4 linked regions of the Saccharomyces cerevisiae S288C genome follow. The gene in region 3 interacts genetically with the main gene of each other region. Each region holds a gene or a part of one and is shown on either strand. Other genes may lie near its edges. The genes, in order: NUP188, SDD2, TCP1 and NEM1.

Region 1 (10,384 bases), on a different chromosome or scaffold from region 3:
TGTGCTATTACTACTACCAATAGGTTCATGAAGTGGCTCCTCCAGAATATCATCATGCATATATTCCTTGTTCAGTTTGAATGGGGTAGGATCTGTCAAAAATCTTCTGAAAATGTTATCTTCGCATATTTCAGAAATAGATAATAGTTCTCGCAAGTACTTTTCAAGTTTTTGCTTTCGTTCCTCATAAAGCAATGTTTTTGTAACATGATATTTCAATGACATTTTCACTTTTGACGGGAACAAATCTTGCAACTGCCTCATCAGATCCCTAAAATTCTTTTTCAAATATGTATTTAATTCAAAAAATTCATTATATCTCCTTGCCATATCCCAAGAACTTACCTGCCCATTGTTAAAATGATGGATATTGATGATATAATAAGTTATTTCTTTTAGGCCATTACTAGAATTCTCACTGAAGTACGACCTAATGTATATCTTAGTTTTTCTGAACAAACTATTACCATTTTCTTGTACCATATATTGCTGTTTCAACAGTTCCTTCATTTCTAGTTCCTTTAATAGGGTTCTTTGTGACTTTTTTAAAATTTTCAACTGCATTTGATTGTTGGTCAGATCTGCCTTCAAAATCAAATGCCTTAAAAGTTCAAGCTCTTTCTCAATCTGATCAATTGAAATAGTCAAGGATGCTATATTATCCCTAAAGTTGTTTGACCCATAAAATTGGCTAGGATTTAGGCCTGAATTCCCGCTGGAAACACTTACTTTCTCCATATTACGTGGGTGATCCAACTGATCCTCGACAACAGAAATTTCTGAGGTATTATCGTTTTCATCGTCGAAGAGTTTATCTTTGAAAATGTTGTCATTTTCTGAACCAAAGAGCTGAGAATAACGGGGATTTGAGCTTATTCTTGATTTATGCGGCTTGGATCCCGATCCATTCACTATATTATCTAAAGCATCTGTGATGCCGGGGTTTGCGAATATTCTGACAGGATTCATAAAATCAGTCTTCACATTATCTTTTATTATTTTGTTTTGTTCTGGATTGTTAACACCACCGATTCTACTCAGAAAGTGAGCATATATATCAGTCGAAATGATGTGGGACGTTGAAAGCATTTTGAGAAATGAAGGTGTTTTCTTGAAAAGAGGTAAAAATCTATCATCGAGATACTTTATAGCCTCTGTCTGTAGTAGTAAAACGCTTTTCCGAGCTAGGATAAATGTGTCTTCATCGTTGTTGATTTGAAATGAATTTCTGAAAAGTATTATATTTTTCACTAAACCTTCATCCAGCAATTTCATATTTTGCAAGTTATTGTTATGAAAAAACTTTGAAGAAATCTCTTGCAGTTGCATTGTGCTAATTCCTGAATAACCAGAAATTATATCTTCAGATGTAGCATCTTCCAAGGGATTTTTGAATGATTCAATTGTTTGCGAATACTCTAAAAATGTTGAACCCTGTGTTTCAGGAACACTGCCTAAAAATGATTCAAAAAAAGGAAGAAACTCGCTATCGTCTACAATGTCCTTCAATGTGATGGAGGTAAGAAATGAAGCCATTTCCTTCAATACTATTCCATTATCCATATTTAAATCGGGATAATTAGCCTCTCTTGCAAGCTTTTTGCTTGCCGTATCAATTTCCGAGCCAGGGAACGATAACTTTGATTCAATCAAATTTAAGGAAAGCAGTAATCGTTTCTTATACTTCAAATTTTCCTTGGTCAAATGTTCATTTTCTTTCAATTGGTATATTTTGAGGGCCAATGAATACGCAACATATTTGATATCACTTAAATCCAACAAGGAGTCCAACTGGTTGAGATAATGCTCGAATTGTTTTCCAGTATATTCAGCATTAAGCTCCAATTTTTCACTTGAGGGTTCTCCAACATCTTTGTTCGCTACGTCATTCATCACTTTTCTATGATCTTGTAACTCTTTACTCAACATTCTTCTTATCTTGTGAACTTTGTGCTTTTCCTCGAAATAATTTTGTGAAAGGCTTACAATTCTTAAATTCCAACTATCTGGATCAGTAAATTTGAAAATTAATGGAGAAATAATGCACGTAGTGAGAACTTCCGTCATTAATGTGAAAACAAGCAATGAATCTAACTCATCATTATCAAAAAGGTGAGGAAGGAGCCCGATTACAGTTTTCCTTATGGATTTTTCAATTTCTTTCTGAAGAGCATTCGGCTTCAATGATAATGATTTATGTATTTTGTAATTTTTATTAAACTCAACGGCAATTTGTAGATCGATGTTGGCTGATTTATGCCTTTCAAGAGTCAAATCGCTTAGCACAGCTTCTCTGGCATCACAAAAAGTGCTGAAATGTTTGTTAAATATAGGCAACAGCTTCAGAACAATCAAGCTGGCACTATCATTCTTCATCAACTTGTCCTTCACCACTAGGAGCGTTTGTAATAATCTCCACTTTATTACTTTGAGGAACTCTGCGTCACTATTCTTATCGATTTTTGTGAACCAAGGCTGAACAAAATCTTTAATAATTAAATTAACAATACTCTCTAATTCTTTCCCAATTTGCGCGTTCCCATCTTGTATTAAACCCTCGACAGACTTCAATTCTTTATCAACATCCACAGTATTCGAACTTTCCGGTACGATATCAACAAATCTTGGCTGAGGTTTCGGTAAATCAGGCAAGGATTTGAAGAATACGAAGTACGCAAAGATGCAGACATTAAGAAAGAACCCCAGCGAAAAAGTGATTACCGACCATTGTATCATTGATATTAAGTAAAACAAAACTAAAATCAATCGAAACTGTGGAAACTTAGGCATACGATATCATATCAGAAGGCACAAACACGCGCACTTATGGCGCTTTCAAAGCATGAGAGTCTTCGGTTAATTTACTTATCTTATTGTTTACATATTTTTGAAGTTCGTAAGGCGATGAAAAAAAAAAGTACACAATGGATAGAACTGGGATGGAAAAAGCTCATACAGTCGCAGTCCGCAGTATAGCAACAAAGGGCCACCCTTGCACTTGCACTGTTCATTATTATATTATGTAGCTTTACATAACCTGCAAAATAAGTTAAACGTCCTTAAATAGTGAATCTTGTAATGCTTTAATGTCTCTGCTGATACCCTTGACGAACTCCAATCTGCTTGATTCATCCTCCAACTGCTGTTGCTCTTCTAAAGTTGTAGGTATTATTCTTGAATTCAAGTATTTTGGATGTGTTAGAAACTTGCTTAATGCAGCGCTTAACCTTTTTTTATCATGTTCAGAATCTAGACCAATAACCAATTCTACAGCTTCTTGTTGATCATCAGAGTTTTTAGGCTGAATAAACAATTCTTGGTAATTTAGCAAGTTTAGCATTTTTTGCAATAAAACCAATTGATTCGTTTCCTTTATCAACGAACTTGACACTGCTAACTTGTTGTCACCCCAGTTATATATTGTAGATTTTATTTGTTTTCCAAAATATGAAACAAATAGGCACGTCTCAGGTAAAACCTTGATACCGAACTGACTTAATAGTAGTAGAACAATGGATAACAAACCATTGCTCCAAATGTTGTGCAATCTAGGCGAAAATTCAGGTTTTATATCACCTTGCTGTATTGCAACAGATAGTGGACTTTCCAATAGAACGCTATACAATCCACTGTTGATGAGTTTTGCAGCAATTGGCTCAATAGAACACAATTCGGAGATAAAGGTCAGAGTAATTTGCCCAAGAATTGGTTCATCGTTAATCCTTATCAAATGCGCGCTTGAATATAGGTTCAGTATAACTTTCAAAGTTCCTACTTCGTTTAGGGATGATGCTAGAATAACATTGAAGTTTTTAGAGGGATTCACATTGGTGATCTTCTTGAAGAGTGATAATAATAACAATAAATCCTGAGTATTATCCTCCAAGTTGACAATTTGGGTGGTGTGATCGGTGCTTAAACCCCTCGTGGAGCATTTATTGATCTGACATAATATCTCAGACAGTATCAAATAAACACCCTTACTAAACACTAATTCAAAAAATTCCAGTAGTTGATCAGATATTAATTCGATAAAACGATCTCCTGACGAGACTAACTCGAGAAGAACTAAGACAGATCTCAAAAGAGGTCTATAAAAGTTATTTTTTAGTGACTTACCAATATTTTTAATAAAGTCAATCTCACCAGATTTGAAAATTGTAAAAATCTTGTTCATCAATTCAATTATCTTTTCTTCCTTCAACAATTTTCCCGACAACTTGAACGAATATAAAATGTAAAACGACAACTCAATTCTTTCCAGATATATTTGGGTAAACATTTGTTTATCTGAACCAAAATCAATATTTAACTTGAGGAAATGCTCTACCAAGTCGACAAAACCATCATTTAACGGAACAGTGCTCCTCTTCACAAACGTGGTGATTAGTGCGCCCCATGCTTTTGCGGTAGATATTTCGTAATTGACATACTGCAAATTTAATGAAGCGTCTGTTATTTCCTCCTTAAAATTTGTCTGACTCTTACTTGGTTCGTTCCAACTACGGTCAGCTTTTAAAACTATATCTAATAACGGAATATCATAACCGAAATTCTCATTTTCGTTTATTCTGGATAATGGAATTTTTTGGAACGACTGAAGCTCTAAACTGGGCCATTTCTCTTTAAATTTTAAGTTTAATTCATCATGAAAAGTTTTATTGAACCCATCAATTTGGAAGAAATGATGAACTAATTCAAACAAGTCTTCCTGATTCAAAAAATTTAAAATTTCCGAGTTTGAATCAGTGGAGTTGTAAATACACAACGCAAATATTTCTACAATCCTTGAGATCAATTTGTATTTCTTAATCAAAGAAACAGTTTCGTCACGAGTCAAATTTTCCTTTTTCTGAAATAATTTTTTTGAGTCCTTCAACTTAGCCAATAAGGAATTCACAAATTTAGGATCTTTTATGAATATTTTAGAATTTGTCCAAGTGTTTAAAACATATGTTATCGTTTCTAATAACTTGCAACTTACTTCTTCAGGCGTTGAATCTAATAGTAAAGAATTCTTTTGCAAAACAGTTAATATAGAACTCTTTTTGTCTATGGAGGATTCGTCATTAATTTTTTTATTGGAGGCAAATTGACCTGTTAAGAAGAGGATAGATAACCCATCTTGTTTACTTTCTAATAGGGTAGTAAAAAAAATGTACAAACTTCGGAGAAGGTTCCAATCTTGCACTGGAGAGCTCAGGTCCGACAGGACTTCTTTCAAAAATGCCATTGACTTTGCTTCACCAAGGAAAGATAACAGAAATGGATAGTCGTCATTCCAAGGAGCCTCTACTAAATAGCTTAACAACTCTATGATCTGCACTTTGAAATGAACATAACTTGGTAGGGTATAAACGTCAACCAATTTTGATGAATTTATGAAAAGCAATTTTTCCAGGTTGCTTGGCTTTAAATCACGATTGCTACCTCGAATAGCGATCAAAAGCGTGCACAGCTTGAAGGAGTTATTCATTACCTTGCTATATAAATTACCCAAAATTTTGTCGCCTAAAATTTTTGTTGTGGTATTCAATGGTGAAATCAGAATATTCGTCAAAGTATTTGGAGCCAAATCAATGGAATCCATGGGAGTCAAAAATAACTGCAACAATTTGTTTGCTGACGAGGAAATGATTAACTGATCCTTTTGATGTGGATTTATGGTGAAAACGTCATGAAGTACATCATAAAAAATTAATGTCAAATGGAAGGCAATTTCGAATTTTTGTAAGAAGTTGTTGTACTTCCAGTTGTAATAACTCTCAAAGATATGAATTGCATGTAGAATCAACTTATTAATAATATCAATTTTACTTCTCTTGGAAATATGGATATTTTTCAATGAGAGAGATTCTCGAATAAAGACTTTTGTTAGCTTAAGCAATTGGATAGTGAATGTGTAATCCCCCGTAGATAATTCAACCGAACCGAGTATCATATTGGAAAGACCAGTCTTACCATATTTGTCTAACAAATCCGATTTGTTCAAGTAAGAAGAAACAAGATGAAGGTAATTCGGTGTCAGCATAGTCATAAATTCACAACATTGTACAATTGAGGTATAATCTTTTCTTTGTAGTGATATTTCAAAAATCTCGAAAATTACTTGGATAATCGACGCTCCATTTATGGTGCTGGCTGAAGTATCCAGAGAATTTGATAAATATGACAGAATTTCACTAGATTTCTCGATCGAGGTTTTCGGATCGACAACGTTAGTGACTAACTTTATTATGGATATCATCAATTCATGTTGTAAGTCATCCAGTTGTGTACCCTTTTCCATATATGAATGTAATAGATTTTGCAATATTCTACCCACCAAAGACCAACCATTGAATTTGTAAAGGAAAATAATCAAATTGGAAGTAGTTGGCGGCTGTTGTCCATTCTGTTGTTGTTGTTGTTGTTGTTGTTGTTTGATAGTAAGAATTTTTCCCTTTGTTGATTTTGGTATTGACAAGAGACAATTAGAGTTTTCGTTTTCTAAGGGTGGCGCCACTAGTAAATCAGACTTCAACTCTATCAAATCAGGCACTATAATATCGGAGGATGAAGAAGAGTTTGTTATTGTATCAGCAATTAAGTCATAATCCAAATCGTTCAAACTACTTTTGGTAACAGCAAATGAACATATATCTTTTAATTCAAAATTGGCAAACTCGGTATCAATTAAGGCTAAATTAATTAGCGGGATCAGTGATTCGTTCAATAGGGGCAATTTAGCCTTTATGATGCTCAATTTTTTCTCAAAAGTGTCATTAGTTAAGAAATTCTCAATGAACTGCTCTGGTGCCTTTGAAATTATCTTGGCGAAAACCCGGGAAGTAGATGCAGTTATAGGAATAAAATTTAAAGAAAACTCCAAAAATACTGTTATTACTGTGGTGTAAACAGGATCAAAGGATAGAATTTCTGAGAGAGTATTCAATTTTTGAAGAACATCATGTGATTCAGCAAACAGAGCAAATTTCGTTATGTCTGAATCATCAAATGATTCCGACGATTGTAATGCTCGCCTATAATAAAGTATAAATGACCAGGAGTAATGAATCATTGGATGGAAAATGGGGTCCTCGTTGACGATATTGGTTGCTACATCATTCTCTAGAGCGCTATTGACGGTGTCGAAAGTTTCTGTATCCATGTACAAAGGTGACTGAATATCAAATTGCGCGATTGAAGTGTTCAGTCCAAGTATCAATATAGTTGTGATAGTAAATAAAGATGAAATCCTGGAAATAAGCGTTTCTGAGAGGTAACTGAGGTCTTGGAAATTCTGAAACTTGTACAATTGTAGTGACGAGGTATCTATACTCTTGTCTGTTGAATTTATATTTCTGCAAAATTCAACAAATTGATTTTGATACTGTAGAAACCATTGATTGACGATATCTACTGGTACTTTTGTGTTGAGGATCATTAAATTCAAAATTTGTAATATCTGCAAGATAAACTTCAAATCAGAAAATTTTTTTAACTGCACCAATGAGACAATTGTGAACATGTCTTGATCGTTATTATAATCATGTGCTAAAGATGAAGCTGTAATAATGTCGTAGTTCTGGATTACAGATGATATTATAGAAATCAATTTCCCCACTACATTGAATCTATCGTTGTCAATAAATGAATATGTCTCGAGGTCGATGTCAGGGTTAACGAGAAGTGAGTATACTATATGAAGTCTAGATGATCTCTCAGACATAAAGAATTCTACAGCATGAGAAAGGTCCTCAGATTGAGCAAAGAATGGATCATTATCGACGTTTATTTGCAATAAGTTTGCAATTGTAGAGCGTAACTTGTTATGATCGCCGGAAGAAGTTACATTCTGCCTTATTGTGTTCAGACTCTCGATAAGATTTGTCTTGTTAGCTTTCAAAAACTGTCTTATTTGGGCCAATTGCTTGGCATCCACAGCGGATACATCAGCAGCAGCATCGTTCATAAAATTAGCAACATGAGTGAAGGTCAATTGTGGAGAGGAATTGCCAAATGAAGGTGTAGCCATGGCTGATGGGGTCCTTTTTTTAGCGGTGGAAAGGGTTATCTCTTTATTTGTGTTTCTGTTCGAATATTAAAGATGTCTCAAAGTATTCATTTCAAGAAGAAAATTTTTGGTATTACAAAATATTCTTACCCGGAATATATACATATATACCTTAACTACAAGCAGGAGCCGGCTTTCTGGCAAGGAGGGAGAAGACATAGATTGTTTGCGTATATATGTGGGAATAGCGTCCAAGCACGCCCGTGGCTGAGGGAGCACCACGATCGTTCGGTGTACTTGACACCTCTATATGGTATGTTCTTCCCTGATATTGATATCAGCACAATTACGGCTCTAAGAAACGATGAATATAAAAAACGTTAATTAGGAATTTGACATATGTGCTAGTATTCGGGCCCCTGAGCAAGTTTGTGCGCACGACGCCTGTCCGTTGCTGCACATGCTTGCGTGGGGCCTTTTTGTCGTGTTTTTATTTAGGGACTGTTATCGAAGGAATAGATTTCTGTGGTGAAAAGTAGAAAACTACTAGCTTTTATAGACGGTGGGGGAGAAAAAGGAAAATTAGAATTGAAAAAAATTTGAAAAAATATGAAAATGTGAAAAGGACGCCTTATTTCCTTGGGTTGCCCGGCGAACACGTTAGTTAACTCGCTGTCTAACTGATGGGCTATTATTATAGCGTTATAGTACGTATCAGAATTTAAAAGAAGGAGGCAGAAAAGCTTAGAGCAAAGGGGCAGGACAATGGAAGCTTCACATTTGCAAATCTACTGGCATGATTCACAACCCGTTTACTCGCTCACATTCCAAAAGAACAGTGCGAACGACAAGCTTTTCACCGCTGGTGGTGATAACAAGGTTAGGATATGGAAGTTGAACAGAGATGAAAACGGACAAAATGGGGGGGTGCGTAAGATTGAAAGCCTTGACTTTCTTGGCTCGCTGACGCATCACGAACAGGCCATAAATGTAATCCGATTCAACTCGAAGGGTGACGTACTGGCGTCTGCGGGCGATGACGGCCAAGTGCTGCTATGGAAGCAAGAAGATCCAAATACACAGCAAGAATCTGTGGTCAGACCATTCGGAATGGATGCGGAGACTAGTGAAGCAGACGAGAACAAGGAGAAATGGGTTGTGTGGAAACGGCTGCGTGGTGGTAGCGGTGCTACTGCGGCGGCAGAGATTTACGATCTAGCGTGGTCACCTGATAACAGGAACATAGTGGTGGCATGTATGGACAATTCGATACGACTGTTCGATGTTGGAGCTGGGATGCTGGTATGCGGCCAGTCGGATCATGGTCACTACGTCCAAGGTGTTGCATGGGACCCATTAAATCAGTTTATTCTCTCACAGTCTGCGGACCGGTCTCTGCATGTATATGGAGTCATTCTTTCATCTGCAGGAGTGGTTACAGGGCTGAAACTTAGAAGTAAGATTGCCAAGGCAGAACTGCCTTGTCCAGGTGATGTCCTGAGGACAAATTACCTTTTTCACAACGAGACGCTACCTTCATTCTTTAGGCGATGCAGCATATCGCCTTGTGGTGGTTTGGTCGTAATTCCCAGTGGTGTGTATAAGGTGGCTGGTGATGAAGTCGCGAACTGCGTATACGTGTATACTAGATCTGGAATACTGAACAGCGCTGGTGGCGTTAAAAACCGGCCTGCGATTAGAATCCCATCTTTGAAGAAACCAGCGCTGATGGCGGCTTTCTCGCCCGTATTTTACGAAACGTGCCAGAAGAGTGTGCTTAAGCTGCCCTATAAGCTAGTATTTGCCATAGCAACGACTAACGAAGTACTCGTGTACGACACGGATGTATTGGAGCCGTTATGCGTTGTGGGAAATATACATTACTCACCCATAACTGATTTAGCATGGTCTGAGGATGGCTCGACCCTACTAATCTCATCAACAGACGGATTCTGTTCGTATGTATCGATCGACACAGAAACGCAATTCGGTTCAAGGATAGAGCCGCCAGCGATGCATGCAGAGCCACTAGACACTGACGAGAGCGCGGTAGCGGCTAAGAACCAGCGCGAGGCAGGTGGGATCGTGAACATGCTGCCGGTGAAGAAGATCCCCTGCAATAGTAGCGATAGTAAAAAGAGGCGCATACATCCTACGCCAGTCGATTTGTGATTTTTAATATATTTAATGCGGTACATAAGAATGCCTAATCTAGTTTGCCAGCGAAGATATTTTCCATTGTGTGCTCAATGGACCCTGTGTTCCTGAGATCTTGCACGACTTTTTCCTGAGGCACATGTGGCGCCATCGTCATCACGATTTCAACCATGTCACTATTAACGGCTCTCTTTCGATCACTACCATGTCTGTTTAACCGAGCAACGCGTT
Region 2 (5,850 bases), on a different chromosome or scaffold from region 3:
CTTTGCCGTTTATAACGCACCATAACTCGTCCTCACCTTTACAATGCTTCTTTACGATTTTTCTGTTTATTCTTAAGGGTGGCATTATTTTATAAAGGGGTATCTTTTGGACAAGCAATTGGTTCTTCAGTTGTGAAGGTGAAAACTTGAAGTTATCTTTTTGAAATACCGGATCATCGAGTAAATCCTGGATAAGCTGTAGCGAAACGAATTTTGTATAATAATTCGCTGGATTGGAGGTTAGAGAGTGCCAGTCCAGAGCACTGTGCCCAGGATCTAGTCTTATTTTGGTTCTTACAAGAGGCTTTCTTGACGACTTCGACATGGGCATATGCAGCGGGGATGATATGGCAGGATGAGCAACGCTTAGTCGCTGAGGAGCAGCGAATCTGACATTTGGTTTCGAGTTTGAAACATCTCTGTTCATGCCGTCACTACTCATATCTCTATGAGTGTAATCTAAGCACCTGCTAATATGTTATATTCTGCTTATTCGTCCTTTTGCTACACATAATTAATGTAACTTTAACTCTAGTTCTATAAAGGATATGATTTGTACTAAATGTAACATTATACGAAAAAACATATTATTCGTTTATATAAACTAATCAAAGAAGTCGTCATCATCTTCGTCGTCATCATTTTTAGCATTCTGCTTGTCAAATGAATTCAGATCTTCGCTGAAATCTTTCCGTTCGAAGATAATCTTACTGTTATTTTGTGAATTTTGTTGCTTGGCGATACCATTCAAGATTGAAACAATTTCAGCTTCAGTGATTTTATGAGTGACGTTGTTTGTAGCAATCAGTTTCTTTAAGTATGTCTCTACTGCTTGGGCCCTGTCTCTACGGACCAAGGCCACTCGAGATAATCTTTCTAAAGCTTGTGGCTCCAAGAAATTTGCAATAGCTGCACCAACGGGAGCGGAATTTTCACCTCCACCATTATTAGCACCGCTATTTCTATCGCCGTTGGTACCCCCACTGTTGTTTTTCAACTGAGCCAATCTGGCTTCCCTAATAGCTTGTAACTCTGGGTCCATATCTGAGCACACACTTCCTCCTGAATTGTAATCCAGAGAGCAAGAAGATTTTTCAACTTTTACTCTTGGTTCTCCTTGTAGAACCACAAGTGGTATAAAAATTCTCGCTTACCCAGCCCAAAAATTCTCATCTGTTTCTCATCTGTTTCTCGTCCGAATAAGTTTCCCGTTCGCAGCTAGGATTTCACCTGCTCACCATAATAGGCAACTTTCTTCCTCATGTAGGAAATTATACTATTGCTCTCTGTTGCAAGGTTATTTTTGAGCCTTAATACCATATTAGTAGATATAAATACATATATATCGTGTTAACCCATAAGTGGTAGTTTTAGTAGCTCGCTGCAAGATCTGCCTCATTCCTTTGTAGAGAACGACGTACCCACTACGCGTTTGAACATTTGCAACAAGCACGAGAGGAAGGAAGAAGAATACCAAGTATAAACGAGAATAATCACCATAGAAAAACCTATAAAAGACACTTCCATTACCATCTGCTAATAATAATACAATGGACACCAGCAAGAAAGATACTACTAGGTCGCCCTCACATTCCAACAGTTCTTCTCCTTCATCTTCTTCTCTCTCTTCATCTTCTTCCAAAGAGAAAAAACGTCCTAAGAGACTATCCTCCCAGAATGTAAATTACGATTTGAAAAGGAGAAAGATCATCACTTCTGAAGGTATAGAAAGATCATTCAAGAACGAGCATAGCAATCTTGCAGTTGAAGACAATATCCCGGAAGAAGAACCCAAGGAACTTCTTGAAAAGGACTCCAAGGGTAATATCATCAAACTTAATGAGCCATCCACCATCTCGGAAGATTCGAAGGTATCTGTCACTGGATTGCCGTTAAATAAAGGTCCTTCTGAGAAAATCAAGCGAGAGTCTCTTTGGAATTATAGAAAAAATTTGGGAGGCCAATCGAACAACTCAGAAATGACGCTGGTCCCCAGTAAAAGATTTACTCAGGTGCCGAAAAATTTTCAGGATTTGAACAGAAATGATTTGAAAACGTTTTTAACTGAGAACATGACTGAAGAGAGCAATATACGGTCAACTATTGGTTGGAATGGCGATATAATAAACAGAACTCGTGACCGTGAACCTGAAAGCGACCGCGATAATAAAAAGCTATCAAATATTAGAACCAAAATAATACTTTCAACGAATGCTACCTATGATTCAAAAAGTAAACTATTTGGCCAAAATTCCATCAAGTCAACATCGAATGCGAGTGAAAAAATTTTCAGGGACAAGAACAATTCAACCATAGATTTTGAGAATGAAGATTTTTGTTCGGCTTGTAATCAGTCAGGTTCTTTTTTATGCTGTGATACATGCCCCAAATCCTTTCACTTTCTTTGCTTAGACCCACCAATTGATCCGAACAACCTGCCTAAAGGTGATTGGCATTGTAATGAATGTAAGTTTAAAATCTTCATAAATAACTCAATGGCAACTTTAAAAAAAATTGAATCCAACTTCATTAAGCAAAATAACAACGTCAAGATTTTTGCTAAATTACTTTTCAATATCGATTCCCACAACCCAAAACAGTTCCAGCTACCAAATTATATAAAAGAAACCTTTCCTGCTGTGAAAACGGGTTCGAGAGGACAATACTCTGATGAGAATGATAAGATTCCATTAACTGATAGACAATTGTTTAACACTTCTTATGGCCAAAGCATAACTAAATTGGACTCTTACAACCCGGATACACATATAGATTCAAATTCAGGTAAGTTTTTAATTTGTTACAAATGCAATCAAACCAGACTAGGTTCATGGTCTCATCCAGAAAATTCAAGATTAATAATGACTTGTGATTATTGTCAGACTCCATGGCATTTGGATTGTGTACCGAGGGCTTCTTTCAAGAACTTAGGTTCAAAATGGAAATGTCCTCTACATTCCCCAACTAAAGTTTACAAAAAGATACACCATTGTCAAGAAGATAATAGCGTAAATTATAAGGTGTGGAAAAAACAACGATTGATAAACAAGAAAAACCAACTTTATTATGAACCTTTACAAAAAATAGGCTACCAAAATAACGGGAACATTCAAATCATACCAACAACTAGTCATACAGATTATGATTTCAATCAAGATTTCAAAATTACACAAATAGATGAAAATTCCATTAAATATGATTTTTTTGATAAAATTTACAAATCAAAAATGGTTCAAAAAAGAAAACTCTTTCAATTTCAAGAAAGTTTAATAGATAAGTTAGTATCAAATGGATCCCAAAATGGCAATAGCGAGGATAATATGGTCAAAGACATAGCCTCTTTAATATATTTCCAAGTTAGCAACAACGACAAGAGTAGTAACAATAAATCGGCTTCCAAAAGCAATAACTTAAGAAAATTATGGGATTTGAAAGAACTGACTAACGTAGTCGTGCCGAACGAACTAGATTCTATACAATTCAATGACTTTTCCAGCGATGAAATAAAGCATCTGTTATATTTAAAGAAGATTATCGAATCCAAACCAAAGGAAGAACTGTTAAAATTTTTAAACATAGAAAATCCCGAAAACCAATCCGAATAGAAACGGCGTACATACATAAAGAATAAATCAGGAACGTGAACACCTTCCTTACATATATACACACATACATAGGCATATGTATCGCATCTTAAAGTGAGAGATCTACCTATTTTCCTTTTTTTTCCATTTACAACATAGCAATTGATGTTTTTTTCCCTTCTAAGTCATCTCGATGTCATCATCTTCATCGTCTTTGTAGTCAACTTCTTTCCTGACCCTCAATTTCTTCATCACAATATTTTCGTGCCCTTTCTTGGTTTCATTTTTGTTAGACGGTGAATAACTGTCATCATCACTGTCTGATTCTCGATCCCCATCACCTTCTTCGTCGTCAGCCTGTGATCTCGCATGATGAACTTTCTTCTTTTTTTTTTGTGATTCATTGTTTTCGTGAGCTAATAACCTCTTTTGAAGCCTTTGTCTTTGAGTTTGTGACGTGTGAAGAATCCGTCCGATTTTAGCTTTTATATTGTTTTGTATTTTTTCAGTCAAGCTCTCTGGTATGTATGTTTTGAAAGATAACTGGGCCTCCTGAACCGTTGCAAAAGGTTTGAACAAATCTGATGGTAAGTTTAATTTACCTGGATATGCTGAATGTTGCCAATTTTTCTTCTCTTTTAAATTCAATAGAATCATTTGCGACAGCTCACCTATGATATACATTTTCTGACCGTAAGGTCTATGCTTCTTTGGCGCTTCTTCTTTTTGTGGTCCTTCTTCTTCATCAATTTCATCCTCAACTAACTTATCTTGATAGTTTTTTACCCTTTCTGATAAATAATAGAGCAAACTGAAGTTCTCTTGGGCGGCAATAGAGTCAAAGTAAAACAGCAAATAATCAATCGCTGTTGTTAAAGCATTTAGATATGCGTCTCCTTCGGAATCTAAACCTCCCACAATATCAGGGTGATGTGCAATCGCATGTATCAACCTAGGCAAAGCTCTTTCAAATATCGTCCCTTTTTTAAATGATTTTAAGCCAAATGTAAAGTTTATCCATATCTTCGTTGTGGTTTTCAGTTCGACATCTGGTTCATAAGCAGTAAAAAATACTAGTGGTAGGAACTTTATGGAAATCAGTTCATTAGCAACATAATCTTTCAGTTGTTCCAAAAATGTTTTTCTTACTGGCAGCGATTCATCTTCAACCAAATTAATTAATTTAATAATGTCCGAAGGTTTGATAAAGTTGTTCAAATTAGAAATCCTGGCCAGTTTTAAAACTTGAATTCCTGCCACACACCTCAATTTTGTTTGATAATTACTGGGGGTGGGATAAAACTCCTTGTTAAACTCGGAAATCAGCTCACCACCACTTGCAATCAAGTAAAAGAATAACTTCATAGTTTTTTCGGTGAAACTTTCTGCCAATTCATCTCGTGGAACATCCGGAGCAATTGATCTCAATTTGTTGGTGAACAGCTTTAAAGTAAACACCTTATTACCTATTGCAGAATATTTCGTGTCACTTAATAGAGAATCTTCTACCCAGTCAATTTCTTTTTTTGAATCACCAACGACCTGGTTTGATAATAGAACTTCTTTAATTAGGTATGATATGATATCAGTGGAATCATCATTTAGGACGTGAGGGAATTTTTTAAATATTTCCATGAGTACAATAATATGAGATGTAAAATACTTGTCTTTTTGCAAATCTAAAGGTAGGATACGTATTTTTATCTTTTTCAGAGTTTCTTCAGCTTTGGGCGATAAAGCGATAAGTTTTGTGGCGTATTTCGTTATTTCTGGTTTACTTTCAACTGCAAAATCGTATAATTTGGTGAAGAAAAACGTGTCGTCAAAATCCACTTGATCCTTTAATGTTTTGGAAGCCTTGTAAAGGGTTTTTAAAGCTTCTTCCAATGACAAGTTATCATTTTTTTCTGCATCTGGATCATCCAAATCCTTGATAATGGTTTTTAATGTTCTAATCTGATCTTTAAATAATGTGGGATTGACTTTCGATATATCATCCAAGATTCTTCTTTTCAAATCCAATTGTTTTGCGTCAGAATTATTAGATAGGTTCAATAAAACACTGATGTTGGATACATTATAAATTATTGGTGAGGCTCTAAAAAGCAAAATTTGTATTACCTTGGCGATATCACGTGGCATAATGGAAGCACCAGTAGATATATTATATTTTTTAAATAGTCCTGGCGTTTGTAACTTACTGACCAATTCATTGTAACAATTTTTAAAAGTAAGAAACGGAATATCGTTGGTGACACAGGCATTT
Region 3 (7,347 bases):
ATACTGACATTCCAACTTCATATTTGTGCACTTCCTACAGGCTGGCTTCCCTTCATCACACTTAACTCTTCTTCTTTTACAGTTATCGCACCCATTCTTTGATTTGTTATGGAATTTACGTTTACCGGTTGAAGTCGTACTCACCTTTTTGCCGTCCACTTCAATTAGCTCGATGACTTTTTCTCTTCTTCTGGGTTTTGTCACCGCTTTCTTGTGATTCTGTATACCGACTTCGCTCATACTGCTGAACTGTAAATATTTGTACTTAACTTTTTTTGATTCACTATTTCTGGAAAGCTCAATTTTGTTTTAGTGTTGGATAAATGAGAAAAGATAGTTCCTACAACTTCAAAAAGTTAATGTATGTAAAAAATCGCTGTTTAGAGGAACAGTCAGCACTATCGCACCCTGAAAGCAATATCAATCTTTGACAAAAGAAGTGTCTACTTTCTATGCCGCGACTTTCCAAGTAACTTGTATTTGCTGATCCTGCCAGGGCGGCGCATATATAGATTTCGACAAGCACATTCACTGAAGACAATAGAATAATATTCGTTGGGCGAAAATTTGACGCGATCCCGCTAAGGTGCGCTCGTTTAGAGAAAAAAATAGCTTGGAAAAAACCTTATTTAGCTGCCACATTTAGACAGAATAACACAGCCACTATGGGAGATATTCACCCTGGGGATCATGTTTAGAAACAGGCTTAGCAGTAAGCGCAATTGAATTCATGGAATACACTCCGCATTCTTTTTTATTGCCGCCTTACTAAAATGTAACGCTAGCGTTAAGCTTTTTTCCTTTAACAGGGTTCCTGCTCGTTTACGAACAAACACAATAGTTTGTAGGGACCCGCTTCTGCATTTGGACAAGAAAAACAACTCAACGAAGTCCTAATAGGTACGCGTTATTACGTATTAGTCCACCTCGCACGTGAAAAGCTGGGAAGCGCTTATCAACTGCCCAGAGTTAGCGATCAAATTCAAAAATAGAACTAGCTGAAAAAAATATAATTAAATTTTATATAGGTTTATTAGTTTACATGCAGATACAGAATCTCGTTCGGATTACGCAAAGAATCAATGATCGTGCGGATCTTCTTTGGGTGGTTCTGGATCCACTGTAATCATTGTATCAATTCTTAGAATTGCTACACAAGCCTCCAATGCTGATTTCAAGGATTTGACTTTGCTTATGGTTGGCTCAAGAACACCAGCGTGAATCTCGTCCACAATTTTACCTCTAATCAAATCTAGGCCGTAATTTCTGTAGCTTCTCCTCTTAACGTCCTCTGGCTTGGCCATTTGACTAGCGGCATGGTAGGACCTTAATTTTGCAACTAATTCACTAGAATCCTTGGCAGCGTTAACAGCTAAAGTTTTTGGAATGATTAATAATGCAGCTGCAAACTCAGCAATAGCTAACTGTTCACGAGAACCAACTGTGGTGGCAAAATTGTCCAAATAGATATTCAATGCGGCTTCAACGCAACCTCCACCGGGGACAACATTTCCACTTTCAAGCGTTCTTTTGACAACAGAAAGAGAATCGTGCAAAGAACGTTCCATCTCATCTAAAGAATAATCGTTGGCACCTCTTAAAATGATCGAAGAAGATGAATGTTTAGAAGTACCCTTAATTAAGATACACTCATCATCAGAAAATTTGGCTTGAACTACTTCATCACAAAGACCTAAATAACTGCTTTCGAAAGTTTCCTCACCTTCTAAGTTAGACATAGAACTAACCAAAGTGGCGCCTGTAGCGCGTGCAATTCTTCTCAAATCTTCCTTCTTACAGCGTCTTACACCCATTATCTTAGCTTCAACGAACTCCTTTAAGCATAAATCATCAATACCTTTGGTGGTTAACACAACTTGAGCACCAGCATCAATGATCTTCTTCACTCTTTCCAAAACAATACCAGCTTCACGTTTACGGATTTGCTCCAATTGTTCCGGATCATCAATGTTGATTTGAACACCCATTGCCATACGAGCTTTCTGCAAGTTCAAATCCAAACATGCGATTTTCACATTGCCACCGGCGATACGTTTAGGCATTGCTTGAGAAGCAACTGTACAATTCAAAGCATAACCTGGCACCAACAGTGATTCAGTGGCAGATTTACCATGAGCTTTCAACACATTGACAGCCTTTACGGGATACTTGATTTCTCCTTTGGAATTTTGCGTCTTAACAGCCAAAAGAGCATCTACAACCATATTGCTGAAAAAATCAGAGTCAGCACCAATGATCTTAGAGGACATACTAGTCTTGGCTATATTAATTAACGTCTCTTTCCCTAAAGTGTCAACACTTGTGGAAAGAACTTCATTTATAAAACGAATAGCCTCTCTTAATGCAACCCTGAAACCAGTTATGATGGTAGTTGGATGAATCTTATTTTTGACTAATTCATTAGCTCTTTTCAACAACTCAGAAGCAATAATAACAACACTAGTAGTACCGTCACCAATTTCTCTGTCCTGTTGTTGAGCCAATTCTACTAAAATTTTTCCAGCTGGATGTTGAACATCTAACAAAGACAAAATAGTGGCACCATCGTTGGTGACGGTAAAATCACCAATGTCATCAACAAGCATTTTGTCCAGTCCAACGGGGCCTAAAGATGACTTGACGACGTTAGCCACAGCCATAGTAGCCAAAACATTCTGATTACGAATATCATCACCACTTATTTTTTCACCTCCTAGGAAAAGGGTATCTGAGCGCGAGTTATTGAATAATTGGGACATCGCTAAGTTATTACAAATATAAAAGTCTTCTGTCTATTGTTATTGTCCCTTTCTTGTACTCTCTCAGTGGCCTCTCTTTTGCTTAAGTTATTTACTCTTCATGTGATACCACCGCATTTCAATTTTTTTTTTTTTCAGTTCTTTGCCACTTAGGACAAGGTCCCTCGGCAAGTGAAAAAAAAAAATCTGAGATTATTATTTCAGTAGTACTACTGAGGATAAAAACTAATATGATAAAAAATATATATATATTTGCTTTTTGCTTCTGTAACATGTAAATTACTAAATCTATATAGCGCTCACCTTTTTCTCATATTAAAGCCTTTTTATGGTAATACATGATTATGCAGGGTACTGCGTGGACTTTTATTCCTCTTCTGAGGAAGATTCTTCGTCAGCATTCTGTAACCACTCAACCCACTTTACAGTTAATTTCTTGACTTCATCATAGCGAGGGTCAGTAGAAACATTATCCCACCATTTATAAATGACATCCTCCTCAATTATGTCATTATCGTATAGAGAAACCAATGCACTAAATAGAATCAAATCCGGTTTGTCAAAACTCTGTTCTACAATTTTTTCCATTATGATGTTCATCAAATCAATATACTCTTCTTCATCAAAGGCTTGTCTCTTGAACAACAGTCCCCACTGATTAAAAACCTTCACCACAGCGTCCTTGGGACCTAATGTTTGAGTTGCAATAAAGTGGTAAACTCTTCTCAATAATGCAGTTATTGTTGCTATTCTCACCTCATGATATGTCACGTTCATACTCATTCTCAAGGTGTTCAATTCTAATAATGCTGTGTCAAGATCATGATTGTTTTCCATAGCACGCTCCACGGTGGCAATACCTTCTTTCTCAAAATCTTCGTCCTCAAATTCAGAATCAATTTCTTCTCTATCCGTGTATATACTATTGACAGACATCGTTCTTCTTTTCTTTGTCTTTTTAGTGGCGGAAGAAATTGAATCGTCACTTAAGTATAACTCATCTAATTGGTTACTCAAAGTGTTTATTTCTTTGCAGGCTTCTGTAGAACTATCTTCATCGTCAGACACCTCGCTTTCGTAAATATAACCAACACCCTTATCTCCAACAATAGAAACGGCTAGTGTCTGATCATCAAGGTCTTGGTCAAACTGCTCATTGCTTTCATTATCATACATTCTTGAGCCGGCATTTTTTAATGGACTGGCAGATATTTTTGTGTTTCTATCTAAATCCATATTATCATCAATTTTAACGTTGAAACCAATTATACAGCCATCATTTAGGCGTACATTACTCCCTAACGTGGCATTAGAGGCAATTAATGAATGGTCAATTATACTGTTATTTCCGATGATACAGTCATCCCAAATGAAACTGTTCTTGATTCTAATATTTTCACCGATTTGGCAGTTCCTTCCAATCACGGAATTCTCAATTTTCGTACCCTCTCCGATTTTTGTTCCTGATCCAATTGCAGTGCACTTACCAATTTTACAGGATTGGGCCAAAACAACGTCTTTTTCCTTGTATATATGTCTTGATTCATAAGAATACGTTTGATCGTCCTGTATGTTAGAGTCTAAGACCAAGGGATAACACCATCTACCTAAAAAGTCTTGAGAAATGGTGTCGTAAGTTTGCCAACTTTCAACTCTTACAGCATATTCGTCCGTCAAATAGGCATATATATGCTTTCCCAATATATCGCTTGAAATGACACCTTTAACAAAGTCTGTCCTTAATGATTGGTAGTCAAAATTTTCTTGAAATATCAAAGGTACATGAGATGTACAAATGTCAATTCTACAATCGATGAGGTCATTCCTTATGACAAATTCATCGACATTATCCAACAATTCTGGGTCAATCTGAATGGAAGTCTTCTCTCTAGAGCTTGGTAATGGTAAATCTTGGTAATAAATACACCTACTGGTGGATTTGTCTAAGACAAATGCGGCAGGCTCAATAGTTCTTGTTTTTGGATAGGTACTCGCTTTGCTCAAACACATTGTCGAGATGTGATCTTTATCTTGCAAATGCATTTTTTTGTGAAATTCTAGCATTTTGCTGAAATCGATGTTAGTCAATACATCACCACTGACTAAAATAAAATCTCCAGTAATGATACCTCTATTATCTAGATCTCTCATAACATCACCCGTACATCTAGCTTCTGGAGACATAATGGTGGTAATTTTAAATGGAGACCAAGGCAAGTTCCACTTAGAATTCTCAATATAGTCATTAATTTGGTTGGCATGAGAAGAGCAAATTAAGAAAACTTCATGTACGCCAGCCTTAGCCAAAAATTCTAAGGTGTATTCAATGAGAGGTACGTTAGCCAGTGGCAGCAAACACCTTGGCTTGACAGCTGTCAGTGGCATAAACCTAGTTTCATAAGAGTCTGTCAAGACAACGGCCTGGAGACGATCTTCAACATCCATATCAGAGTTCTTTCCATGGTTGCCTAGTCCACTTTTCTTTTGTCCCTTTTTTCCAGCCATCTTTTGCCTTATGAGTGGTTTCTATTCTATTTTTAACACAAGACCACTTTTAGTTATTTTTATACTTATCCCACAAGGTGGTCCATCTGCCATCTTTGAATTGGTGATTTAACTCTTCGCATTAATCTACTGAAAAAAAAAAAAAAAAAAAAAAGAACTGAAAACCATCTAAAGTCAAATAAGCTCATGTAATACGGGCATGTTGCAAACGCGTGTGAAAAAAAAAGAGAAAGTGCTCGAGGTGGGGTTTGAACCCACGACGGTCGCGTTGCTTTTAAAGGCCTGTTTGAAAGGTCTTTGGCACAGAAACTTCGGAAACCGAATGTTGCTATAAGCACGAAGCTCTAACCACTGAGCTACACGAGCATTTTCGAAAGAGACGTAAATAACATTGTTATTTATACTGGAATTAGTACTAATAATTTTATTAAAAAAAAAAATAGCTCTTTCTGAGAATTCTTTGAATTTTGGGAAAATTGTCGGGATATTAGTGTTAAAGAGGCCATTGTTGGAATAAAAATCAACTATCATCTACTAACTAGTATTTACGTTACTAGTATATTATCATATACGGTGTTAGAAGATGACGCAAATGATGAGAAATAGTCATCTAAATTAGTGGAAGCTGAAACGCAAGGATTGATAATGTAATAGGATCAATGAATATTAACATATAAAACGATGATAATAATATTTATAGAATTGTGTAGAATTGCAGATTCCCTTTTATGGATTCCTAAATCCTCGAGGAGAACTTCTAGTATATTCTGTATACCTAATATTATAGCCTTTATCAACAATGGAATCCCAACAATTATCTAATTACCCACATATATCTCATGGTAGCGCCTGTGCTTCGGTTACTTCTAAGGAAGTCCACACAAATCAAGATCCGTTAGACGTTTCAGCTTCCAAAATTCAAGAATATGATAAGGCTTCCACTAAGGCTAACTCTCAACAGACAACAACACCTGCTTCATCAGCTGTTCCAGAGAACCCCCATCATGCCTCTCCTCAACCTGCTTCAGTACCACCTCCACAGAATGGGCCGTACCCACAGCAGTGCATGATGACCCAAAACCAAGCCAATCCATCTGGTTGGTCATTTTACGGACACCCATCTATGATTCCGTATACACCTTATCAAATGTCGCCTATGTACTTTCCACCTGGGCCACAATCACAGTTTCCGCAGTATCCATCATCAGTTGGAACGCCTCTGAGCACTCCATCACCTGAGTCAGGTAATACATTTACTGATTCATCCTCAGCGGACTCTGATATGACATCCACTAAAAAATATGTCAGACCACCACCAATGTTAACCTCACCTAATGACTTTCCAAATTGGGTTAAAACATACATCAAATTTTTACAAAACTCGAATCTCGGTGGTATTATTCCGACAGTAAACGGAAAACCCGTACGTCAGATCACTGATGATGAACTCACCTTCTTGTATAACACTTTTCAAATATTTGCTCCCTCTCAATTCCTACCTACCTGGGTCAAAGACATCCTATCCGTTGATTATACGGATATCATGAAAATTCTTTCCAAAAGTATTGAAAAAATGCAATCTGATACCCAAGAGGCAAACGACATTGTGACCCTGGCAAATTTGCAATATAATGGCAGTACACCTGCAGATGCATTTGAAACAAAAGTCACAAACATTATCGACAGACTGAACAATAATGGCATTCATATCAATAACAAGGTCGCATGCCAATTAATTATGAGAGGTCTATCTGGCGAATATAAATTTTTACGCTACACACGTCATCGACATCTAAATATGACAGTCGCTGAACTGTTCTTAGATATCCATGCTATTTATGAAGAACAACAGGGATCGAGAAACAGCAAACCTAATTACAGGAGAAATCGGAGTGATGAGAAGAATGATTCTCGCAGCTATACGAATACAACCAAACCCAAAGTTATAGCTCGGAATCCTCAAAAAACAAATAATTCGAAATCGAAAACAGCCAGGGCTCACAATGTATCCACATCTATTAACTCTCCCAGCACGGACAACGATTCCATCAGTAAATCAACTACTGAACCGATTCAATTGAAC
Region 4 (6,887 bases), on a different chromosome or scaffold from region 3:
GTTGGGTTGAAAACACCGATATAAGAGCTGTAGTAGCAATTAACTTCCACGTATTATTTGCCATTTGTTCGTTCTGCTATCCTAACTAATTGCAGTATTAATACTTTACTAACGCTAGAAAATTTTTTCATAGTCTTGTCTCTTTTCGCTACTGCATAAAATATGAAAAAGAAATCAAAAAACCTGACAGCAAAATGTAAAGTAAGATACGGGCATTTAGCGTGTCACTGCTGAAGATAACGTAAGACTAAAAAAATTTCAAGATTAATTCCCAACCTATATATATATATATATATATATATACTGTTTAGATCAAGTATATCTTCCTGCTAAATAATTAATATGCTCGTATGTAGAAAACAAAAAAGAGGTCTTTTCTCTTTTTTCTCCCGTTACTTTTTTCCCTGAATGCAATAACCTTTCCATTAAATGAGCAGCAATGGATAGGCGATTTATCACCTAAAATTCTCATCTTTTTTGGAAGGACACAATAACAATTGTCAGTTTATGTTGAATGCCTTCTCTCCATGTTTCAATGCCAGTATATTCCTGACATCTGTTGAATACCTCATAGCCTCCAAGAAAGGTAACAGGTTCAGTAAGTCCGTATCAGTTGGATCACTTATCCATCCTTCTACTTGAATAGCGTTATCTACATTCATTGCGTAACTTACCGGGCTGTTATCTATAATAATGACATCATCCAAAGAAGAGGAGCTGCCTTTCCCGTTTTCTTCGGAGTCCTTGACAATGCTCAAATCTTTAATGTATCCAACACCATCCCTTAGAACGCAATCAGAACGGTAATATCTTTTTGAAAAACTGGATGGGAAGGAGCTTTCTAACCAATCTATCACAGGATCAGCGTATTCTTTCATGGATGCTGTAAAAATGATAAGGTCGTACCATTTGCTAACTTTTGTCAAAAATAAATCACAGTAAGGCCTCTTGTGAATAAAGTATAGTGTACGAATTCCGCTCAATCCAAACTTCACTTCCACCAAGTGACCCTGAGAAGAATTACTATGCGTTGTACTTCGAGAAGCCGAGTGAATTAAGGTCTCATCGAGATCTATAACCAGTTTCTTTTTCTTTTGTGTGTTAAGCACGGATTTAGGTATCAGCTTCTTTGGAAATAAGAACCTTCCCATTCGTTTTGTACCAAATACGGTATTAGAACTTGAATGATTAGAAAGTGATAGTTCTGATTTGGAATAACTTCTTGGCCTTGATTTGACAGATTGAGCTCTAAGTAATGAGCCTTTAACATTATCCCTTTGTAGAATTATCTCATCACTGGCATTTAAGTCATCCTCAACTGCCTCGGGAATCGTATTTAGATTGCAATTTTTAGGATTTGTTTTCTCGCTAGAATCGTTAATATTGCTTGAACTGACAGGCAGCTCATTCTCACTAGCATTTGAACCCCTGTTTCTCTTATCGGTGTGTTTTACACGACGCTCGATGACACTTAGTGGGAAGGTAAAAACAAACCATAAAGACATCAAGGGCTTGATTATCAGATAATACGGAAGAAAAAGTAGTAGTGCCCACAAAATTGACGCTATTTTCTCTATTAGGATGGAACGTAAAGCTTTTGGTTTTTTAGGAACAGAATTTTTGCGCTCTTGATTTTGATCAGATTCTTTTAAGTGGCTTGAGGAGTGGTCGTACTGTTGGTCCACCTCACTAACGCAATCATTTTCGCTGTGGCTAGTATATTTGTTCGAAACTTCCTTTGAAGGGCCTAGTAGATCTTGATTCTTTGTCACCTCAACATTGATTTTTTTTTGTTTCTTTGTAGTTATTAAATGATTTGAGAAATATTTTAGGGCATTCATTCAATTAATGAAACAATGTCCAGAAATTAACAACAATAAAGAAAAGTGAGAATAGGATGCAAAATAGGTTCTATATATCCCGAGTATTTACCAGGGAGAAGAATTCGAGATAATACCCTGTCCTTACGTAGAAGAATCAATTGTTTTCAAGAGTTTTTCTTCTAAAAAAGTGTCTGGACCTTTTTTTTCTCATGCGATTTTATTACCCTTGTTTTTCAATTGAAAACCCGGAACGATTTAACGAGATCAAGAACTGTTGAACAAAATGGCTTTTTCATTTGGCATTCCATCATAGACTCTAATGGAGAAGAAAAATAGTAATTTTTTCTGGTGCTGCTGCTCCTTCTTGCATCTTCGGAAACAGAATTTACGTATCTAAACACTACTTTAATTATACAGTTCCTTCATATAATACCAATTTTTTTAAGGTTTTGCTGGATGATTAGATCGGTGACTGCACTCAATACGAACTTCATAGTTTGGGTATCGGTAGCGCAGGTTCGTTTCACGTAGATTGGTTTGTTTGTCTTATTCAAGCTCAAAAATATCTTCTCAAAATATTTTAGACCCGCTTCTGCATCGCCGACACGTCCCTGGTAATCAGGAAAGTACTTTCTTATGGGCATGCTTTTTACCTTTTCCTCGAACAAATCAATTTTATTTAAAAACAAAATAAACGGTGTATCTTTGAACCACTTAGAGTTCAATAACGTGTCAAATAGCATTATTGATTCATGCATTCTGTTCACTCTTTCATCCTCAAACAACATCTGGTCGTATTCACTCATTGCTAAAACAAATAAAACTGCTGTAATTCCTTCGAAACAATGAATCCACTTCTTACGTTCAGAACGCTGCCCACCAGCGTCGAGAACCTTGAATTTGGACGAGCCGATGTTAAATTCGGTTTCTGTAATGCCTGTAGTCTTTATACGGCCCTTCAAAATGTCTTCATCCGTACAGACATAATTCGGACTAGCAAATTTCTCAATGTTATCAAAGTAGTATGCAGCTGAGCCCTCCAATTGAAACTCATTAGAACGTGCAAAACACTGCTTTATACCTTTGTCGTTATTCCAAAGTTGCTTTATTGCCTTAGCAATGTCTTCGTGAATAAGATTTCGTCTATTTTGTCCTTGAATTTCCCTTGATGTTTTTCTAACAAACATCTGGTCATCGCCTTCTTGGTTCAAGTCCTTGCAAATATCCTGTAGGTTAATTCTACTACTGTTGTTTCTATCAGCATCCTCATTTTGCGTCACCGTTTCAGCATCTCTGTCAGTGTCACTTTTGACATTAGAAATATTTCCGTCTTCATCGAAAGCAGCTTTTGCTCGTCCGGTACTCTGAACACGCCTCCTAGTTTCATACCTTTCTGAGTACTTCAGTACATAATCATTTAGAAAATCAGAACCACCGGCAACACTGGCGTTGATATAATCTAAAGCTTTAGCCTTTAGCAGTATTCTCTTGCATGCAAACAAATCTTTATTGTTGATCGGATCATCACAGTCAAGTTGAATACCTAGTTTTCTGGCCTGAATAATCAAAATTTTCATTGATTGTATGGCATCTGCCCATATCACTTGAGCATACTGTAACCTTTCTTGATGGGAGAAACCGCCTTGATGTAATAATTTTAATTGTTTTAAAACCGTTGATTTACCTGACTCACCGGCACCTAATAGTAACAGTTTTATTTCATTCTTGTCACGTTGTTTCTCCAGCTGCAACGATTGCTCGATGACATCATTGGCTCTTTTGTTCTGTAGAAAAGGATCACTTTCGTCTCCTATTGTTTGCGTACTCACTGTACACCCCATTATTTCCTACCTTAATATATCAATTTATACACCTCTGGATTATTGATGTGATGCTAAAATACCAATTTACAGTATGAATAGCTTCTACTCAGTTTGGTCTTAGAAATGGTCAAAAATGTTAGAAACGGAGTGACAAGAAAAAATGAATAACAGATCAAAAGATTACGAATAATATAAAACGTAAAGAAATTGGTGGAATTCTACTATCCTCTTCATTTTAGACTATTTTTTAATATTTCCCTTTAAGGAAAACAATATGTAACAAAAAAATTTCTGCTCTCCATTTAATTGCATTTCTACAAGGAAGAATACGCAGAAGGACGCGCAGAGCCCTAAATTGATGTGCTTTTTAACATGCTGAGCCGAGTGCGTTTCGGTGAAATAACACGAAGATGCGTTTCAAATTGAAACTAGTCAGTGTTATCTGCATGAAAAGGGAATATCGTTATGCATTCAGTTTTCCAATAGAGACATTTTTTTTTTTTTAGATTCGGCTTGCTTTATCCACCTATGATCTTGTTTTCAAACAACATGTGCCATGTAAGATAAAAAGGTAAAGATGAAGTACAGAAAAGAGTATAATGTTACTTGTATATACAGGATATGAATCAATAATACTAATTATAACGTTGAGTCGAGTAAAACAGCTTATGGATTTCTTTTCTTATTTTCGTCTTATCATTACTGCTTTAATGCACATTTCTAAAACTTACCGGCTGCGTTAAATGATTGGCCCATTTTCTGCATGTTTTCACCGACTTGAACATTGGTCTCAAAATATTTGGCCACACATCTGTCTAGGCACGAAGATTCATTCTTATTCAGCTCACCCTCGGAATAAGAAGTATTGATACATTTTTTATAACAGTTATTAACCAATTTATTGAACATGTCTGTGACCAAATCTAGTTCAGCTTCCGCAGCTTGAATCTTTTGTTGAGATGATAATTGAGGCTGACCACCACCGAAACCTAAGAAAGACATGTTTTTCTAAGTATGATAGTTCCTTCTTTTGCTTGTTTATCTGTTAAAAGACATGAGAGGGGAACGAGGAGAGTAATAGTTCTTTAGAGAGCTTGCTCTTGTACGTTCACTGCCAGCTCTCTCGCTGAAAAAATTAAAGAAAAAAAATGTCCGATAGCTTCAGAGGGTGATCATCAGCTACGAATTGGGAAATCAATGCAAAAAATGCTTCCAATCGGATTTGAACCGATGATCTCCACATTACTAGTGTGGCGCCTTACCAACTTGGCCATAGAAGCTCTAATAGTGATAGGACCCAGATTATATTTAGTGACTTGTTGATAAATGTTTTAAAATATTACCTTCGTGTCGTTATCGTTACTGAGGAAAGATTTGCAAAAAATAATTACATACTTGGGCTCTTCTGAACGAACAAGTTAACCAAAAAGGTGTATATTACTTCCTCTTGTTTTGTTTCCGGGCTAATGCTTACCTTTCCTTTGTTTCCAATGTTCTTCTTTAACACCAAAACATACTATTTGAGAAATGGGTGAATGTTGAGATAATTGTTGGGATTCCATTTTTGATAAAGGCTATAATATTAGGTATACAGAATATACTAGAAGTTCTCCTCGAGGATATAGGAATCCTCAAAATGGAATCTATATTTCTATTTACTAATATCACGATTATTCCTCATTCCGTTTTATATGTTTCATTATCCTATTACATTATCAATCCTTGCACTTCAGCTTCCTCTAACATCGATGACAGCTTCTCATAACTTATGTCATCATCTTAACACCGTATATGATAATATATTGATAATATAACTATTAGTTGATAGACGATAGTGGATTTTTATTCCAACACTATTTGAGGTTTGGCAACTGTTGAAATTATTGTTAGGACATTGTTAAAAAAGGTTCTTTTATTAGGTCTACAAAAACAAAAAAAGTTTTTTCACGAGGACAGCGTGAATCACAAAGGTGAGGTCAATAGTTTTACATAATAATAAATAACGTTTTTTTTTTCTTCCTTTCATGTGTTGCCTTTCTTTATCCAATTACATTGTCAGCCCTTACATTTCAGTGCCTATTGAATTTGTTGACCACTTCCCATCAGCAATACCATCCTCTTACGCAATATATGATAATATACCCGCGACATAAATATTAGGTTAAAAACAGACGGCAAAATGTGCCTTGGGCGGCAAAATCATGAGAAGCGCACATGTCGTGATATCAATAGCACGGAATTCCAGAAGAGAGAAAATACCAGCACTTATAACAAATGATCACAGTAAGCGTGAAAAAGAAGAGCCTGTTGCTACAAAGAACATTGAAATGATAAAATAGTGAAAGAATTCCAATGAATGGGAATATGGATGGCATTTTGGCAAGAAATTGGGCGGTAAATTTTCGTAAAGCTGATTGATGGTCAGCAAAACTCTCTTCAGAAGAACCAGAGAAATGGGCCAATTCTCACGAAGAAAATTCTTATAGTGTGTAAGCATAGGTAACGATCACGATACCATTAATTACCTGCAGTCAAGAACGAGATTTATTAACTGAAGAAAAAAAACAGACCATTTCCCACAAAAATTGTCGACGTTTAACTTGTGACTGATAGAAAGTTATAAAGTAAGCTATTAATGGAGGTTCTGAACGCATGACATGCTCCTCTAAGGGCTAGAATAGAGATTATAATGTTATTTGAAGATTGAAAGTCTGTTACCCTTCTTAGAGTCATCCATTCGAACGAAGAGTATCTTTTTTTAGAATTCTTATCATTTTTTTTTTCTCTTCACATTCCAATACGGGCAAAAAGCGAGAAAAACGATGATTAATAAATGAAAAACAGTGATTAATCATCCGACAAACAGACAAATGCAAGAGAGCAAAAAGTTGGGGAAGTAAGGAAATCCATTATCATGCCTATCTTATCACTATCTTCAACACGGAACAGCGTGTTAACAAGGATATATGACTACCTTAAAGCATTAGTGCAGCAAGTGATTGTGCCCAATGTGGAAGACGACAAATCTTCGAAAAGTACTCCTTTCGAAAAGTTAGAACCTGCGAAACAGAACCATCCACAGAAAGACTGCTGTGCTACCGAAAAGGACGATCTGGTTGACGTGAGCGAATTATTTCCCAAACAGAACAACAAACAATTGAGTCTAACATCAAAATCTTCAGTTGTACCCTGTGCTTTAAATTTGGATAACCTAGAAACACCTTTCTCAATTAAAATTGAT

The links.
Region 1: mutations in TCP1 (region 3) and NUP188 together harm fitness more than expected from each alone (negative genetic interaction), as found in Saccharomyces cerevisiae (4 studies listed by BioGRID, with this or other methods).
Region 2: mutations in TCP1 (region 3) and SDD2 together harm fitness more than expected from each alone (negative genetic interaction), as found in Saccharomyces cerevisiae (3 studies listed by BioGRID, with this or other methods).
Region 4: mutations in TCP1 (region 3) and NEM1 together harm fitness more than expected from each alone (negative genetic interaction), as found in Saccharomyces cerevisiae (4 studies listed by BioGRID, with this or other methods).

Annotation. Positions count from the first base shown.
Region 1 is NC_001145.3:59,533-69,916, forward strand, and holds NUP188 (Nup188p), read right to left. Parts: upstream 8,018-10,384; coding exon 3,050-8,017; downstream 1-3,049. Other genes in the region: MDM1 (Mdm1p), read right to left, coding at 1-2,790; CAC2 (Cac2p), read left to right, coding at 8,762-10,168; CUE4 (Cue4p), read right to left, coding at 10,203-10,384. UniProt on the Saccharomyces cerevisiae protein: Functions as a component of the nuclear pore complex (NPC).
Region 2 is NC_001145.3:412,432-418,281, forward strand, and holds SDD2 (Sdd2p), read right to left. Parts: upstream 1,043-5,850; coding exon 605-1,042; downstream 1-604. Other genes in the region: IRC21 (Irc21p), read right to left, coding at 1-442; RCO1 (Rco1p), read left to right, coding at 1,551-3,605; YMR075C-A (uncharacterized protein), read right to left, coding at 3,257-3,622; sister chromatid cohesion factor PDS5, read right to left, coding at 3,765-5,850.
Region 3 is NC_001136.10:882,644-889,990, reverse strand, and holds TCP1 (chaperonin-containing T-complex alpha subunit TCP1), read right to left. Parts: upstream 2,760-7,347; coding exon 1,080-2,759; downstream 1-1,079. Other genes in the region: UPC2 (Upc2p), read right to left, coding at 1-240; GCD6 (translation initiation factor eIF2B catalytic subunit epsilon), read right to left, coding at 3,126-5,264; YDR210C-C (gag protein), read left to right, coding at 6,064-7,347. UniProt on the Saccharomyces cerevisiae protein: Molecular chaperone; assists the folding of proteins upon ATP hydrolysis. Known to play a role, in vitro, in the folding of actin and tubulin. In yeast may play a role in mitotic spindle formation.
Region 4 is NC_001140.6:111,254-118,140, forward strand, and holds NEM1 (Nem1-Spo7 phosphatase catalytic subunit NEM1), read right to left. Parts: upstream 1,842-6,887; coding exon 501-1,841; downstream 1-500. Other genes in the region: TCD1 (tRNA threonylcarbamoyladenosine dehydratase), read right to left, coding at 1-64; GPA1 (guanine nucleotide-binding protein subunit alpha), read right to left, coding at 2,246-3,664; protein transporter TIM10, read right to left, coding at 4,367-4,648; STP2 (Stp2p), read left to right, coding at 6,561-6,887. UniProt on the Saccharomyces cerevisiae protein: Catalytic component of the NEM1-SPO7 complex which acts as a phosphatase and dephosphorylates the phosphatidic acid phosphohydrolase PAH1. Essential for the formation of a spherical nucleus and meiotic division.